Linked DNA regions of Lonchura striata. The protein of the gene in region 2 purifies or fractionates together with the protein of the main gene of each other region. This does not show direct contact. Links are inferred from orthologs where the notes say so. Each region holds a gene or a part of one and is shown on either strand. Other genes may lie near its edges. The genes, in order: ENDOG and dnaJ homolog subfamily A member 1.

The links.
Region 1: the proteins of dnaJ homolog subfamily A member 1 (region 2) and ENDOG purify together in Homo sapiens (affinity purification with mass spectrometry; 3 studies listed by BioGRID and IntAct, counting the BioPlex papers as one, with this or other methods). This does not show direct contact. The link is inferred for Lonchura striata from reciprocal best matches to the Homo sapiens genes DNAJA1 and ENDOG.

The regions. Positions count from the first base shown.
Region 1 is NC_134624.1:307,328-314,627, forward strand, and holds ENDOG (endonuclease G, mitochondrial), read right to left. Parts: upstream 3,102-7,300; coding exon 2,601-3,101; intron 2,147-2,600; coding exon 2,037-2,146; intron 1,381-2,036; coding exon 1,098-1,380; 3' UTR 675-1,097; downstream 1-674. Other genes in the region: TBC1D13 (TBC1 domain family member 13), read right to left, coding at 7,089-7,154. UniProt on the Homo sapiens protein: Endonuclease that preferentially catalyzes the cleavage of double-stranded 5-hydroxymethylcytosine (5hmC)-modified DNA.
Region 2 is NC_134642.1:48,010,293-48,017,694, forward strand, and holds the start of dnaJ homolog subfamily A member 1, read right to left. Parts: upstream 3,119-7,402; 5' UTR 2,971-3,118; coding exon 2,839-2,970; intron 2,728-2,838; coding exon 2,550-2,727; intron 1,485-2,549; coding exon 1,380-1,484; intron 1,284-1,379; coding exon 1,056-1,283; intron 1-1,055. Other genes in the region: APTX (aprataxin), read left to right, coding at 3,759-3,940, 4,774-4,910, 5,612-5,658, 7,085-7,396.

The DNA.
Region 1 (7,300 bases), on a different chromosome or scaffold from region 2:
AGTCCCGTTTTGTCTCTGTCCTGGAACCCTCTTCATTGTAATAAACCAGGTTTGGAGCTCCACACAGACCCGTCTCTCGCCTCATTTGTCAGCAGTTTAAGCAAGCGTGCTCTGGGAGTGCAGGTGGCTCACAGAGGTTGGTTGTGGATGTGCCACAACACCCAACCAGGAATTCACTGCTGCTAGGAGCAGCAAGTCTGTGCCCTCCTGCCTGCACAGTCCAGCCAAGAGCTGGTTGCTGCTTCCCAGCAGCTGGCACGAGCAGACTTGGTCTCAGCAACTCAGACATCTGGGTGGGAATAAAACAGTGTGGAACCTCAGTTGCTGCGAATTCCAGGTGTGTGTCTTCAGGCAGTGCCTCTGGAGCGATGTGGCCTTCAGACTGAAACAAAGTCAGAACTTATGCTAAGAAACTGTTCCTGCCTCAGCCTGATTTCCCCCAGCCCCCCTTCAAGGCTTCATCTTTCCCAACAGCAGGAAGGCTGGAGCTTCAATTGAGCCTCAGCACTAAAACACATCATCTCATTACAGTCTGGCTCTGTCTGTGATGCCTTAAGCTCTGCCTACAGTGAGCTCAGACAGGAAAGCAGCTGCAAAAGTTGGCTCCATCCTCTCCTCCTCCTGCTGAGATATTCAGAGCTTTGGTGAGAGCAGGTAAGAAACAGCCAATACCATGGGTGTTCAAAGCTTTACTGCTAAAACCATCTTCTGAAAGAAAACAATTGCACAGTTATTCAGCCACAGGAAGGCAGGAACTTCTCTACTCCCTTGGCACCCACCTTGCTCCCCTCCTTCCCTGCTAAACAGCAACAGTTAGCTGACTTCCCTTTCTACCTCAATGAGCTTCACAAAACTCCAAGGCAGCAGTAGATTAGGGGCAAATCCTAGAGAGCTACTACAGTGTCAGGTGCCCCTGAGCCTCCTGCAGGACCACTCTGGAGACCTGTTGTGCATCTGTGTTTCAGTTTGACACAAGGGGAATGGTAGAGAGAAGCACAGGTTTGAATCTTAATTCCCACAACTGCACAAGGAACTATGATTGTCAGGTGACTGCCAGTCCCTTGCCAGGGGTTACCTGTATTTGCTCTAGTTAGGGTTCACTGCTTTCCAGCTGTGATGGCTTTCAAGTTACTTGTTCTCCTGAGGATGTTTGGGACAAAAAGGAGCCCTGAAGCTCGCTCAATGCTTTCGATGGGAACCAGGAACCGTTCCAGGGGGATTTTATCATCCACAGGGCTGTTGGGCATCACGTAGGAGCGCAACTCAATCTCCCCACTCTCCTTTTCCAAGATGAGCACCTTGAAGAAATGGGTGGGGACAGCCACGTTGTTCTTCCCAATCACCTGGTACTTCACATACATCTTCCCATCGGCCTCCATCCTGCACCAACAGCAACATCCCAGGTTATTTCTTAGTCTGGTGTCACTCCACCCCCTCAGTGAGAGCCCCCCCACAGGAGGCAGCAGCTCTGCTCCTGCAACACGCCTGTAAAACATGGCTGGGGCAGAGGCCATGTGACATGGTGAGGGTGAGCTGTGCATTGGGGCTGCCCCCAAATCCTCTCCCTGCTGGCTCTCTTTAACAGACTTTCCAAGCTATTTCCTGCCGCTGAAGAGATCTCAACATGAGACAGCTGCTCTTTGGTGCTACGTGGAGATCTTGAAAAATAAAATTGTGTCCTTAAGTGGAGAAGTAGTCTGTGACACTGAACCTGAAAGCTTTATTCTGCAGGGATGGGGTCAGCAGTCTAATCTGGTAATCAGCTAATTTACTAATTGTTAAAGACTGCAAACAAAAACAAGCTGTGGCTATACTGCAGCTCAACAATGCCACTTGACTCATGAAATAATAATCTGAATGGGAAATACATAAACTAATCCTAAAAAGGTACCTTTCTACAGAACCTCTGTGCACAGCTGGTCTCACCTACTGAGAAGGCCCTTAGTAGATGCCTCCTGTGTGGTCCTTTAGCCTCTTTTCCTTTGCCAGCACAATACATCTTTTGGGTGCCAGTCCAGCTCAGCCCCTGTGTTTACCTGGGCAGGAAGAGGGGTCCTGTGCAGACGTAGACATTCCTGTTGTTTCTTGCCAAGCTTCTGCAGTACTTCTCAAGGTTATTCCAGGCATTCTGGTTTAAATGAGGATTCTAGAAACACAACCAGTAGTCAATTGCTGGAGTATTTCCTCACTGTTCAGAGTAACACATCTCACAGAGCCCCAAGCACTTTCCATACCCAATCTCCACTATCACCTCTGCTTTGGGAGCAGTGATGGCCTGGTTTGCACACCCAGGGCAGGACCCATTGCCTAAGGCCTCAATTTTTAGCAAGTGTGCATCTACCTGTTTAATTCTGCTCCTGACAGGAGCTGCACTGACCGTGGTCTCTCTTTCATGGCTTAAGAGGCGCGCACACACACAGGTGCATTTGCACAATTCCTGTTATTAAATTTAGCAGGAAATCGGCACCTCCGAGTGACTTTGGCCCCTCTGCCTGAAGTGCAGGCAGACACCGGGACGCTCCCGGGGGGTTTCCCGCACGGAGCAGCGTCTGCCCTTGACCGCGGGCAGCTCGGGCCTCCCCGCAGGGCTCGGGCCGTACCTGCGGGGCGATGTTGCTCAAGTAGAAGGTGTCCCGCATGGCCTTCTGGCTCCACTTGTGGTTGGCGGCGGCGGCCAGGTGCCCGCGGTCGAAGCCGCTGCCGCGGTAGTCGGCGTTGGTGGCGCGGTGATATTCGTGCACCGAGTCGTCCTCCTGGAAGTCGCAGGCGGCGCGGTCCGAGGAGCCGCTGAGCGTGTCGCGGTTGAGCTGCTCGATGACCCAGAGCGCGCTGCGGCTCCGCGGGTCGTAGCACAGCACGTAGGACTCGCGGCTCCGCAGCTGCGCCAGCCCGGGCAGCCCGTACTTGCTCAGCTCCGTGCGCCCCGAGCCCGGCGGCGCGGGCAGGCTGGCCGCTGCCACGGCGGGCAGCACGGGCAGGCGGGCCAGCAGCCCCTCGGCCGCATCGCCCCGCTGCCGGTGCTCCCGGTGCTGCCGGCGGGTGAGGGCCGCGCCCAGCCCCGCGCCCACCGCCAGCGGCAGCGCCCAGCGCGCCCGCAGCATGGCCGCTCCACCGCGCGGCGGCCCCGCCTTCAACCGGCCGCGGCTCGGGCCCCGCGCGCCGCGCTGCGCCGGCGGCATCGCCGCTTTAAGGGGAACGCGATGGCGGGACCGCTTGGCCGGGAGCGGCCCCGGGCCGGGACAGCGGCGGGGACACGGACACCGGGACACGGGACACAGGGACACCGGGACACCGGGACACCGGGACACCGGGAACACCGCCACCTGTGCCACGCATTCCTGGGAAGGCAAAGCAAAGCCATGGCGGAAAGGAGAAGGCGGTGGAGGAGCCAGGCGGGTTCGCCAGGGCTCCCCGCAGCTCGCTGTGCTGCTGGTCACACCTACGGACACCGCAGCAGGAACCTGGAGCAGCCCCAACTCACACCAACAGGAGAGGTTTGCACAGACATACGTTTACTTAAAGGAAAACTTATAAAAATAGTGTTTGAAAAAAGAAGCATAAAATAAGGAGTTTTAGAGTGATGAAATGTTCACTACACCCTTTTCTCACAGCTCTTCACAAAGTGGAAAAAAAAAGTGTTATCTGTTCCTTTCTTTGGGGAAAGGGCATTTTAGAAGACTGCTCTGAACAGCTAACACAAAGTCACTGACATTCCTTCAGGAAAACCAGCCTCTGATTCCCAAACACCCCAGACTCCCCCAAAACAACTTCTGGCCTTCATTCTTCTCAATGCCAAAGTGTGATTACTTCTAGGTCAGGTCACAAAATTCAAACTCAAAATCAGTCTCCTGAATAACCACCACCAGCAACTTGATCCACATCACTGGCAAAGCTACAAAGTTCTACAAAGCTTGAACTCCAGTAAGGTGCAGGTAGAACAGACCTCTCCTTCCCAGGAAAGGCTCATGTCCCACATCCAGGAGTGTCCTTTTCCCCTCCCAGCTGAAGGTGATTTCCCCTTCCCTTGTCGGGCAGTAGTCCTGCCTGCGAGGAGCACACGGTAATACCTATTTAAACTTCCTCTGTTCAAGTCCCTGTGAGACAATGGGTCCCCAAGGCAGCCCAGACTAACGCCTCCCACCCCAAAGATCAGTTCTTTCAGCAGGTCAGGACTGTAAGAAACCAGAAGCAGAAACATCTCAAGGCTGGAGCAGGTGTTACTTGGCCACACAAGCAAGGAAACACCAGTTAAGTATTGTCTCACTACAAGAACAACAAAAATAAATCACCAAAAACCTTTGACGAATGAAGCCAAGAGAAACATGAGGAGATTCTAAAGTTGGTAAAAGGTTAAGATTTTCTTCTGTCCTGTCAGAAAATCTGGTTTTACTCTCAAAGAAATTAGAAAGTCTTGGAATAAAGAAATAGATGTCCCAAGACAATGAAAAGCACCACTCCTTTCAACAGCAGGACAGAAGTTCTACCACACAGGAAGGAAATAAGCACAAATATAAAACAGCTTTTTATGTACAGAACAGCCTGTCTGGACATTTCAAAGTTGTTGCAAGCTCTCCCCACAGAACTCAGTAGGTTTGGCAGCCATAGCTTGGATAAGGCTACAGAATTTGTCCCAGAGATCCTTTCCAGCAGCCAAATCTCTCATTGCATCCCTTTAAAACCACTGCAAACTCCTTTCTAAAGCACACCTAGGAAGGGAGAAGACAGCACAACACCTGTGCTGCCACCTCCCCTGTGCCTTCCCCAGTGGGATGGTCACCTCAGGGCCCAAAGCTATGCTGAAAACATGGAGAAGTTCCTCTCCAAGTAATGCTTTCATCCTAATTTGCCTGCTGCCTCCTCAGGTTACTTTAAGGAGACTTCCAGCTGTTCAGAGCAGGAACACTCATGGATGGTCCTGTTGCCAGTAAGAACTTCCAGCATAAGGAAACCCTGCAGGTGCCAGGGAAGCCCAAAGTGAACAGCCCAGCAAAGGATTCAGGGAGATGAGAGCAGAGTTTGTGCATGGAATGGGAAAGCTGCAGTATTTACAGCAGTTCTGAGGCAGAAGTGTTTGGAGCAGGTACAGTTCTGCCTAAGAGTGATTCTACATCTGTAGAGAACCTCCCAGGTGGCTCTTTGACCACACGAGGTCTGGCCAACAGCCTCCCCAGTGCAGGTACCCAAGAGCTGAGACATAAGACCACCTGGAGCAGCTCAGAAAGAACATCCATCCAGTGGCCAGAGCAGCCAGGGTGCTTCATCACACTGCTGTCCTGGTCTACCTGTCCCAGTTTTCTTGGAGGAAAGCTATACCCTCAAGAAAAGATTGCAGCAGAGAGGGATACTGTTGCCACAGGTATTAATTAGAGATTGCTATAAACCTTAAATTGCTCTTGCAACACAGCAGCAACACATGGCTGCACAAGTGGTACTTGAGCATCTATTCAAGAGGCAGAGATTGCTTGGGATTGCCAATAAGAACATGGGTATGTACACCAACCTGTCCTGCTGTCTCTCCCCATGCACCTTGGTGAGAATTACAGCAGCCTGTGAGGGCCTTCAGTGAAGGAAATAACACCAGTAAAAAACCTCAAGGCTGCCAGCATCCCTCTTGCTAGGGCAAGTCTAGGCCAGCAGCAGCTTAAGCAGATATTACAAAGACTGACTGACCTTTAACAAATCAACACCCATAAATACCAAAAACTGCAGAGTCCAACAGCAGAGGTGAGCCAGCACAGCGCAGAAAGAAAGGGGAAAGCATGTTGGATTATTGTTCACTCAAAAGCTTCTGCACCACACAAGCACCTGGGTGCTGGCAGTTCCTCTCTCTGGGGATTAGAGTTTCTGCTCAGCTCGGCACTGTGGCAGGTCAGCAGTTCTCCCTGTGGTTTGTCTCAGTCCCTGGTCACCTGAAGTGCAGCATTTCCCTCTCAGGAGAACAAGTGTCCAGCTCAGGACTGTGACTCCAGCAGGACCAAGACAGAACAGTGGATCAGCCCCAGCAGTCAGCTCATGACAGATGCCTGTGTGCCTGCTGGATTGTGCTAGAGAAGGACTCTTATTGCAGATCAGAACTGTCGCTTCCTGGCAAGAAGTACTGTGAGACAATAGCAAGGTTACTGTGACCAGACCTCAATGGGAATAGTATTATTTAAGCCACTGAGGCAGAAAACTCCAGTTCCGTGCCTGTATAAGCCCCTAAATACATCTGTCTTCATTGCACATGATTAGGTGTCCATTTCTTGTGTTTCAGAATCCTGATTGTAGCTGGATATGCTCCAGTTCAGAGCAGCATGAGGCCTCCCTTCAGCAACAATCCTGCTCTAAGGCTGTGCGTAGTAAGGCTTGACTTGGAACTACACTTCAGCGGGGGATTAAAACCACCAGTCTTGCTTTCAAGGACACCTCGTTGATAAGGCAGCTCTGGATTCAGGCAGTTTGAGTGCACAAAGCCACCAGCTGTCACCGTGTCCTCCCACCTCAACTTCCCAAGTCTCTTTCCCAGTCAAAGGAGTGCAAACTGTCAGGTGACCCTCACCAGAAAGTGATGCAATCTTCTTCACACACTTCAGGGATGGCCAAGTGCAGACACGAGAGAGAAGAATCCAAAATCTACTTGAATGGCAGAATGTGTGACTTCACTGGAATACATTCTATTCACAGGAGGAAGATCCTTCTATCCTCACCCACCAAAATTCACTGGACTTAAGTCTGTCCTTTCTCCATCAGAAGTTACTCCGTGTGTACTTCCACAATACAGGAGTCCATCCCTTCAGGGATATGCAGACAGAAGGTTTCTTTCTCCCCAGACTCAAAGTCATTAAAAAAAAGATACAAAGAGCTGCTTTTGGCAGCAAAGAGGCATTTCAGATGTGGAAAAATCTGGAGTGCAGGACCCAAGTAGATAGGGAAGTAATCAGTCCTTGACCTAATAAATAGAGTAGAAGTCTTCAAGGTGGCCAGTAGTCCTAACAAAACCTGAAGTCTTGCAGAGACCAGTAGGAGCTTTAGTGCACCACACTGCAAGAGGCCATCTCCCAGGATCCACTGTCACACAGTTCTCTAACACCTTTTGTCAGGCCCATGGACTATTTGGAATCTTGAAGTTCCTTTGCCTTCTTCAAAATCAGATGAACATCAGAGATAGGATAATCCTATGGCAAAGAAGCAAAGGGATTTCAGTGACTTCCCAGCATTCTTGATACAGATTGTTTCACTTAAGCAAGGCAAACCTTGACAACAAGGTTCTTGGCCTATTATAACATACAGCCATGTTCAGTTACTCCCTTAACAGCTAGTG
Region 2 (7,402 bases):
CAAAAAGGAAATCAAACACTGTGTACAAACTTTATTTCAACAGCAGTTGACCAGTCAGCTTCTTCACTTTCATAAATATGTAGCGCATCTCCTTATGAAGAATGATCTGATTGCCTGCCAAGTCCAAGAAGCATTCCCTATGGACTGAAAACCTCCCATAAGAAACTTGTTTCACCCACACAAGAAATCGATTGAACAAAAATACTAGCTTTCTTATCCTACATAAATCTTTTCCCTTACTTCTATAAAAACATCCTTCTCATAAGACTTCCCTGTTCAAAATATCAGTAATACATCCCTTCTAGACCTTATATTTACTACCACTATGGATCTCCCCTACAAATTCAGGTGCTGCAGAAGCTCTGCTTACACATGTAACAGCTGCAGGCCATAATCACAAGCAAGACCGTTTAAGTCATGTACTTGTCAGCGTGCTCTGCCTTACAAGCTGCATTACTCCAGACTTCTCCCACCAGCTTTTGGGCAGCCCCCTCAACAGAGATGCATTTGTCATTCAATACCATTCCGTTCACCCATCACGTTGAGGGTTTGTGTATTGAGGTGCATTTTGCCAGGCAAGGAAGTGGTACCTGCATTGGGCAGCACTGTCAGGGCTGCGTAGTCAACAGAGCTTTAAGCATGAGAGCCTTAGCACTGTCTGTGCACCCTGCCACTATAGCAGACCTGGCTCCCCTTCACACTGAAACACAGCGGAAGTGATCAGTCTGCAGTTTTGCTGCACGCAGTGAAAATTGATTGTGTTACCTGATCACAAATTGGGCTTAGAGGGACCTGAAAAATAATTCACTTCTTACAATAACGCAGGTTTCAGAATTCATTCTTAGTTATGTGCCAGGCTTTAGAAGTGAACAGAGATAGTGGACCTTCCCTAGAAAATAAGTCTACTTTTGTAAGGCAGCAGTAAGCAATTTTACTGTGTATTCAGCACTATTACTCACAAAATCAACACCACATTTGCTAAAGCTTTTGTTTTAGTGCTGCAAAGTCAGTCAGTACATTCAAGTTCAATACTTCACCTCAGTAAGACACCTCACCTTTGTCAATGTGAACTTCCAGTATCTTCTTCTCTCGAACAATTTTTCTGCCATTGCAGCTCTTACACCGGTCCTTGGGGCTGATACGCTCCCCATGCCCCTGACACTCAATACACACAGACTGGATCTGCTGCACCATTCCTGGCCCAATCTGGTGAATTCTGATCTGCATGCCTGTTCCCCTACAATTAGGGCAGCATTCTACAGCACCTTTCTTACCACCACGACCTGAGAACAAAAAATGGAGTTAGGTGGTTATGTGCTACCAGAAAAAAATCCCCCAAAGCTTTAGAAACATCTCTTTAATTTCAGTTTCAACATTACCTTCACATTTGTCACAGATAATGTTTTTCTGCAGTGCAAGTTTCCTCATCGCACCATTGTACATATCTTCTAAACTTACTGACAACTGGTGGACTACGTTTTTACCTGTAAAAGAACAGAACTTAATTAAAGTTTAGAAGCTTGGTTGGCACATCTCCCTGCCAAGCCAAGATAAACTAAGTCTCTGGGCTTCAGTATCTTGTATCGATAGAGGTTTGTCTTGTTTTGCTTGTATTAGTCAAAAGCTTCTTCCCAGGTGCTGTCATATTAGGTAACAGTTGTCATGACTTTGACTTTGTTAAAGTCAGAAGAGACCTTCTGGAAAAGTACAAACAAGTATGAGCAACAGAACACACAGAACCTCAAACGTTTAAGTTTTATAATGCAGGACTCAGGTTTCAACAAAGTCACCAAAAAGATCTACAAACAAGGCAGAGACTCTGTTTGGAATCTCCATTTCAGCACTTCCTTCCTCTCACCAGGTGACCTTCTGGAAGCAAAAATAAGCAATTATATTTTTACCCTCAAGAACTCCTTAGCACTTCAGCTGCTGTAGGCCTAGTTTTGTAAATGATGCTGAGCTCTGGGTTATTACAAGTACTTTGACACTCTTAACATTTTGATACAAAACATTTTTTCTTCATCTTTTCAACAGATCTTCACTAAGAGGTGACAGGCTCAGCACTGCTCTTAACAGCTTTAAAGTTTTTCCCAGCGTGATTAAACTGGAGTTTAACTTCTGGGTAGCATTTTACCGCAGTTTCAACTTAATTCCACTGCACAGTGCAGGAACACAGAAAAATTTCACAGACTGAACTGGATCTTGATATCTGATTTAGATAGTTGCTTTTAGATACTACAGTTACAGTAACTTAATTAGTAAACCATTTTAAGCTACTTTACCCTTCCATTTCCTATTTTGTCTACTAGCAGCTGGGCTTACACTCAAGCTAAAAGTACTCCGAACACACCTGCTTTAGCGATTAACAGGGGACAGTGCACAGGGATACCCAACTACCACCACACCAACCAAGGGCCCTCCCTTGGTGTTTCAGGTGTTAAGGGACAAGAGTTTTCTCCAATTTTCAGATTAAGTCTATAATTTCTGTTTAAACTCCTACATCTAAGGCATTCCCCTCAGAGAATCTGATACCCTCGCCAACACGTTACCTCGCCTCTCCCTCTGCATCCTTCCTCCACCGCCGAAGAACATATCGAATATGTCCATGGGTGACCCGAAGCCGCCGCCGGAGCCACCCTCCTTGATAGCCTGTTCGCCTCCTTTGTCATAGAGCTCTCTCTTCTTCGGGTCCGACAGCACTTCGTAAGCTTGCGAGATCTGCTTGAACTGCAGAAAGAACAGCACCGGCACTCAGGCACCCGCGGCACCCCCGGCGGGCCTCCCGCCCGACCCCTCCCGCGCGGCCCCCCCCGCCCCGGCCCGTCCCGTCCCGCCGACCTTCTCGCCCTCATTGGGGTTCTTGTCCGGGTGGTACTTGAGTGCGAGCTTGCGGTAGGCCTTCTTCAGCTCCTCGGCGGATGCGTTGGGCTTCACGCCCAGCACGTCGTAGTAGGTGGTCTCCTTCACCATGGCGGTGGCGGCACGGGGGTCCCGGGGCGGCGGTCGCGGATCCCACTCCGCGCAGCTCCGATCCCGACTCTTCTGGAAAGTTCGGGCCGGGCCCGCAGCCCCGCCGCTTCAGCAGCCGGCCCCGCCCCGGAAGTCCTGCCCCGCCGCGCGCAGGGCCCGGGCGAGTGGCCCACCAATGGCTGCTCAGGAGGGGAAGGCGCTTGGCCAATCTGCGCCCGCCTCCGCCGCCGATCTGGAGCGCGGCCCCGCCCCGCCCCGCGTGGGCGGCGCCGTCCCTGCCCAGCGTCCGCCTCGCCTTGCGCCTGCGCCGTCGGCCGCTCCCGCCCTCGAAGGCTCTGAGTAGCACCGGGTACGCAGCGCCGGCCCGGCCGTCGCCTTCCGGCAACGCTCCGCGCCTTACCCCCCTCACCCTACGCAGACTTGGCTCCGCCGCCGCAAGGCCGGCCGGCACTGCCCCTTTGTGAGGGCCCAGCGCCCACCCCCGGGTGCGCGGGCCCAGTGCGCCTGCGCGGAGCTACGCGCCGCGGCGGGCGCCTCCCTCTAGTCACGTGGGAGACACGCTGCCACAGCTGATTGGCTGCAGTGGCGGCTGCGGCGGCGCGAACATCACGCGCGCGGTAAGGGGGAGGGGTCGGTCAGGCGTTGCCATGGGAACGGGGCCCACGGGGATGGGCGTGTTCCCGTGGGGATGGGCGTGTGCCGTGGGGATGGGCATGTTCCCGTGGGGATGGGCGTGTGCCGTGGGGATGGATGGGCGTGTGCCGTGGGGATGGGCGTGTGCCGTGGGGATGGGTGTGTGCCGTGGGGATGGGCGTGTTCCCGTGGGGATGGGTGTGTGCCGTGGGGATGGATGGGTGTGTGCCGTGGGGATGGGTGTGTGCCGTGGGGATGGGCGTGTGCCGTGGGGATGGGCGTGTTCCCGTGGGGATGGGTGTGTGCCGTGGGGATGGGCGTGTTCCCGTGGGGATGGGTGTGTGCCGTGGGGATGGGCATGTTCCCGTGGGGATGGGTGTGTGCCGTGGGGATGGGCATGTTCCCGTGGGGATGGGTGTGTGCCGTGGGGATGGATGGGTGTGTGCCGTGGGGATGGATGGGTGTGTGCCGTGGGGATGGGCGTGTGCCGTGGGGATGGATGGGTGTGTGCCGTGGGGATGGGTGTGTGCCGTGGGGATGGACGTGTGCCGTGGGGATGGGTGTGTGCCGTGGGGATGGACGTGTGCCGTGGGGATGGGTGTGTGGCATGCCAGCGTTAGACTGGGGACCGAGCCTTGCTTTCCGCAGGCATGAGCTCTCCAGTGCAGAGCTCATGAGGGATCTTTACCAGGGTCAAACTGATGTAAGCTTGAAGGTTACATGGCATGGTCCGTGTGCTGACTGTTGCTGGATGAAGCTGTCACAACTCTCTCATCATGTGTTGTCTTCTGCTGCTCTCTCTTATTTTGGTTGTTAAATTAATCTCTTCGGTGAACTCTGATTCAGTGGGAAACAAAGTGACGTTTTTTGTGGTTAGGCTCTTCTGTCAGATGGAACTGTCAATAAAATTGATTTTTCCTATATATGGTTCACAGATGTGAGAATGTATGGTAGTGTAGGAAGGAAAACAGTATTGCCCTTTCAAACAGCAACCTGCTCTTGGATTATGCAAGTGCTGGTGACATGGTTTGCTTTGCATTTCAGAAACTTGAACCAAGTTAATAGAATTGGCTAACCTAATGGTAGCAGAATTCATGGACCATGTTCCACAGCAAGGTAGCCCATCAGAAAGTGGCGTGTTGGTAACACACTGTTTATTTTGCTCTATAGCACAGTGATGCGTATGTGCTGGCTTGTGAGCAAAGAGAAATGCACTCAGCGGGTGAAACTGCCACACTTGGAACCTGTGGTAATTGGGCGTGGCCCAGAGACTGGGATAACAGATAAGAAGTGTTCACGTCAGCAAGGTAAGGTGATTTAGCTCAAATCCTGCTTTCCACGTGCAGCAGCAACTGAGCGTGCCTTGTTCCTCTGTGTGTTCTGCAGTGTTGCCTGCTTCTTGAAGTCATCAAGCCTTTTTAATAAGCACTTATGGGGATCTCTGGGGCCTACAAAATCAGAGACAGGACGTCCGCCTCCACATACAAAAGCTTTTTGTGAGTTCCCAGGCCCACAATTGTGTTTCACTGCTCACTTCATGAGCAGCACTTCTTCTCCCTAGTATTCCACCAACTGATTTTTAGCATAATTATTATTTAATATGTAAAATAATGTGATCTTGGAGAATATATGAAAATACCTATCACTTATTTAATACTGCACATCTTCCCTGTGTTATATTCTGTGCCTCTGGACACAGTCTTGCTCTATGCCTTATTGTCCCAGTGGGCTGGTTAGAATGTCAAGCATATGTATAAATATCAACAGAATCCACCTTTGTTCCAAAGTAATTCCACCCTTGGCTCAGTGTATGGGTTGACTCTGTTTTACCTGTGGTATGAGAAGAGGTATGAAGAGATGAGGCAGAAATATTCTTGGCATGCATTCACAAAGATTAGCTCCAGAAAGATATGGCTCTTCAAAAAGAGGAGTGTTTTCTGGACTGGGTGGTTCAGCAGAGTTCTTTTTATTTACATGGTTTTGTGACACTTTGTTCTTTCTTTTCCAGTTCAGTTAAAAGCAGACTGTAACAAGGGTTATGTCACAGTTAAACAGGTATGTTTTTATGCATGGATCTCCAATATTTCTGGTACTGGGACAGTTGTACTTAACTCCACAACTGCTCCAAGTGGTGATTCTAATCACGGTGTCTGAGGGACCTGAAGTTTTCTTATCACCAAGAGAAGTTACAGCAAGTGTATTTTCTTATTTGTGCACCTCAGTGAGAGGTTGCACTATTCATTCCAGATACATTCCAGTCTAACACAGCCAGATTTGTAGCATCAGGGAATGCTGTTGTGAGTACTCAATCAGTTCTGTTGGGTGCTGCATTTGAGAGACTTTGGACTTCTTCTACTAAACTTGCTTATCTTTTTCCTGAGCCTTAAACTTCATAAGCTGAGGCAGCCCTTTGTTTAAGGTTGAAGTTCTTGTGTTAATGGGACTATGCAGTTGTAGAACATTTTTATTGGTGGACTGATAGGGCCAGAGATGTGGTTACTTATAGGAAGGGATGGGATGTAAGACAGCCCTGCAGGAATGTTACCAGATGGATGGAGGCAGGCCTATTCCCTCACACTTTACAAAACCCAGTCTCTGAGAGAATAGGAAGGGAAAGGTCTCTGGTACTGCTGCTTGTGTGTGTGAAGAGTTGCTCCCCAGGTGAGAGATGTGTGGCACAAGGTTCCAGTGATCAGTTGTTTGATACTTTATTCACTGATGGGAAGCATCCTTGACTTGAGGGAAACTGCATAGCTGTAGACTAAAGAGATCCTGGCTGGAATCAGGTGTGTGCTTCATTGCAGTGAATTCCAAGTGAGAGGTATAGTACTGTCTTGTGAAGCATGCAGGTATGGCAGTGACAAAGCTAGCAAAAACTCTGAGTTCATCAGTCACAGAAGAGAGCTGATTTCCTAAAACCCGTTTTGTGCATATACATTAACCAAAAGCATTTTGCTGAAGACTCCTAATTTTTGTAAGGTCACCTACATGATGATGCAAAATCCATCTGTCAAGCAATCTCTGTAGGTTGCCTACAACACAGTTTGATTGCACAAAAATAATTTGCTAAAACTACAGTTGCTCTTCAGAAATAGTTGCTGTTGTTACTTCATGTAACAGTTGTTACAGTTGTTACATGTAACAGTTGTAACTAGTTGTTTCATAGGTGTCTAATTTGTGAGGGAAGTGCAGCACAAGTGATGCTGTAACTGTGTAGCTGCTGCAGACCCAGGCTCCTTCTGATGGCAGGCCCTGAGGTTGTGTGCTGACAGCTGTGACTGCAAGACTGGGACAGAAACAGACGTCCACAGTGCTTCACTGCCTGGTTGGCTAAAGTGGGTTGATGTGGGCAGGCTGGGCGATGAATGCAGAATGCATTTGCTTTCTAGGATAATGGTATTCCAGGAGAACTGAGCAGAAGTTGGCGATTCCACTTACAACATAATTTTCTACTATTTTTTCCTTTTCCTGTCTACCAAAGATAGGGGTCAACCCAACTAGTGTTGATCTTGTGAATATTGGCAAGGATGAAGTGGTAAAAATGAAGCCAGGCCAAGTTCTGCATATTGTAAATAATCTTTACCCCTATGTGGTGGAATTTGCCGAAGAGTCTGGGAAAACTGTTTCAAAAGCAGACAAGATGCCACATGAGGACTCCTGTGAGAATGATGATATAGAGCTTGTGCCCAGAAAAACAATGAAGTTGGAGGTGGTGGATACACAAGGCAGTTCTACAAATCCAAAGCTAAGCAATACCAAAGTATCTACACATGAAGGAGCTTTGAGCCAAAAGGCAAGT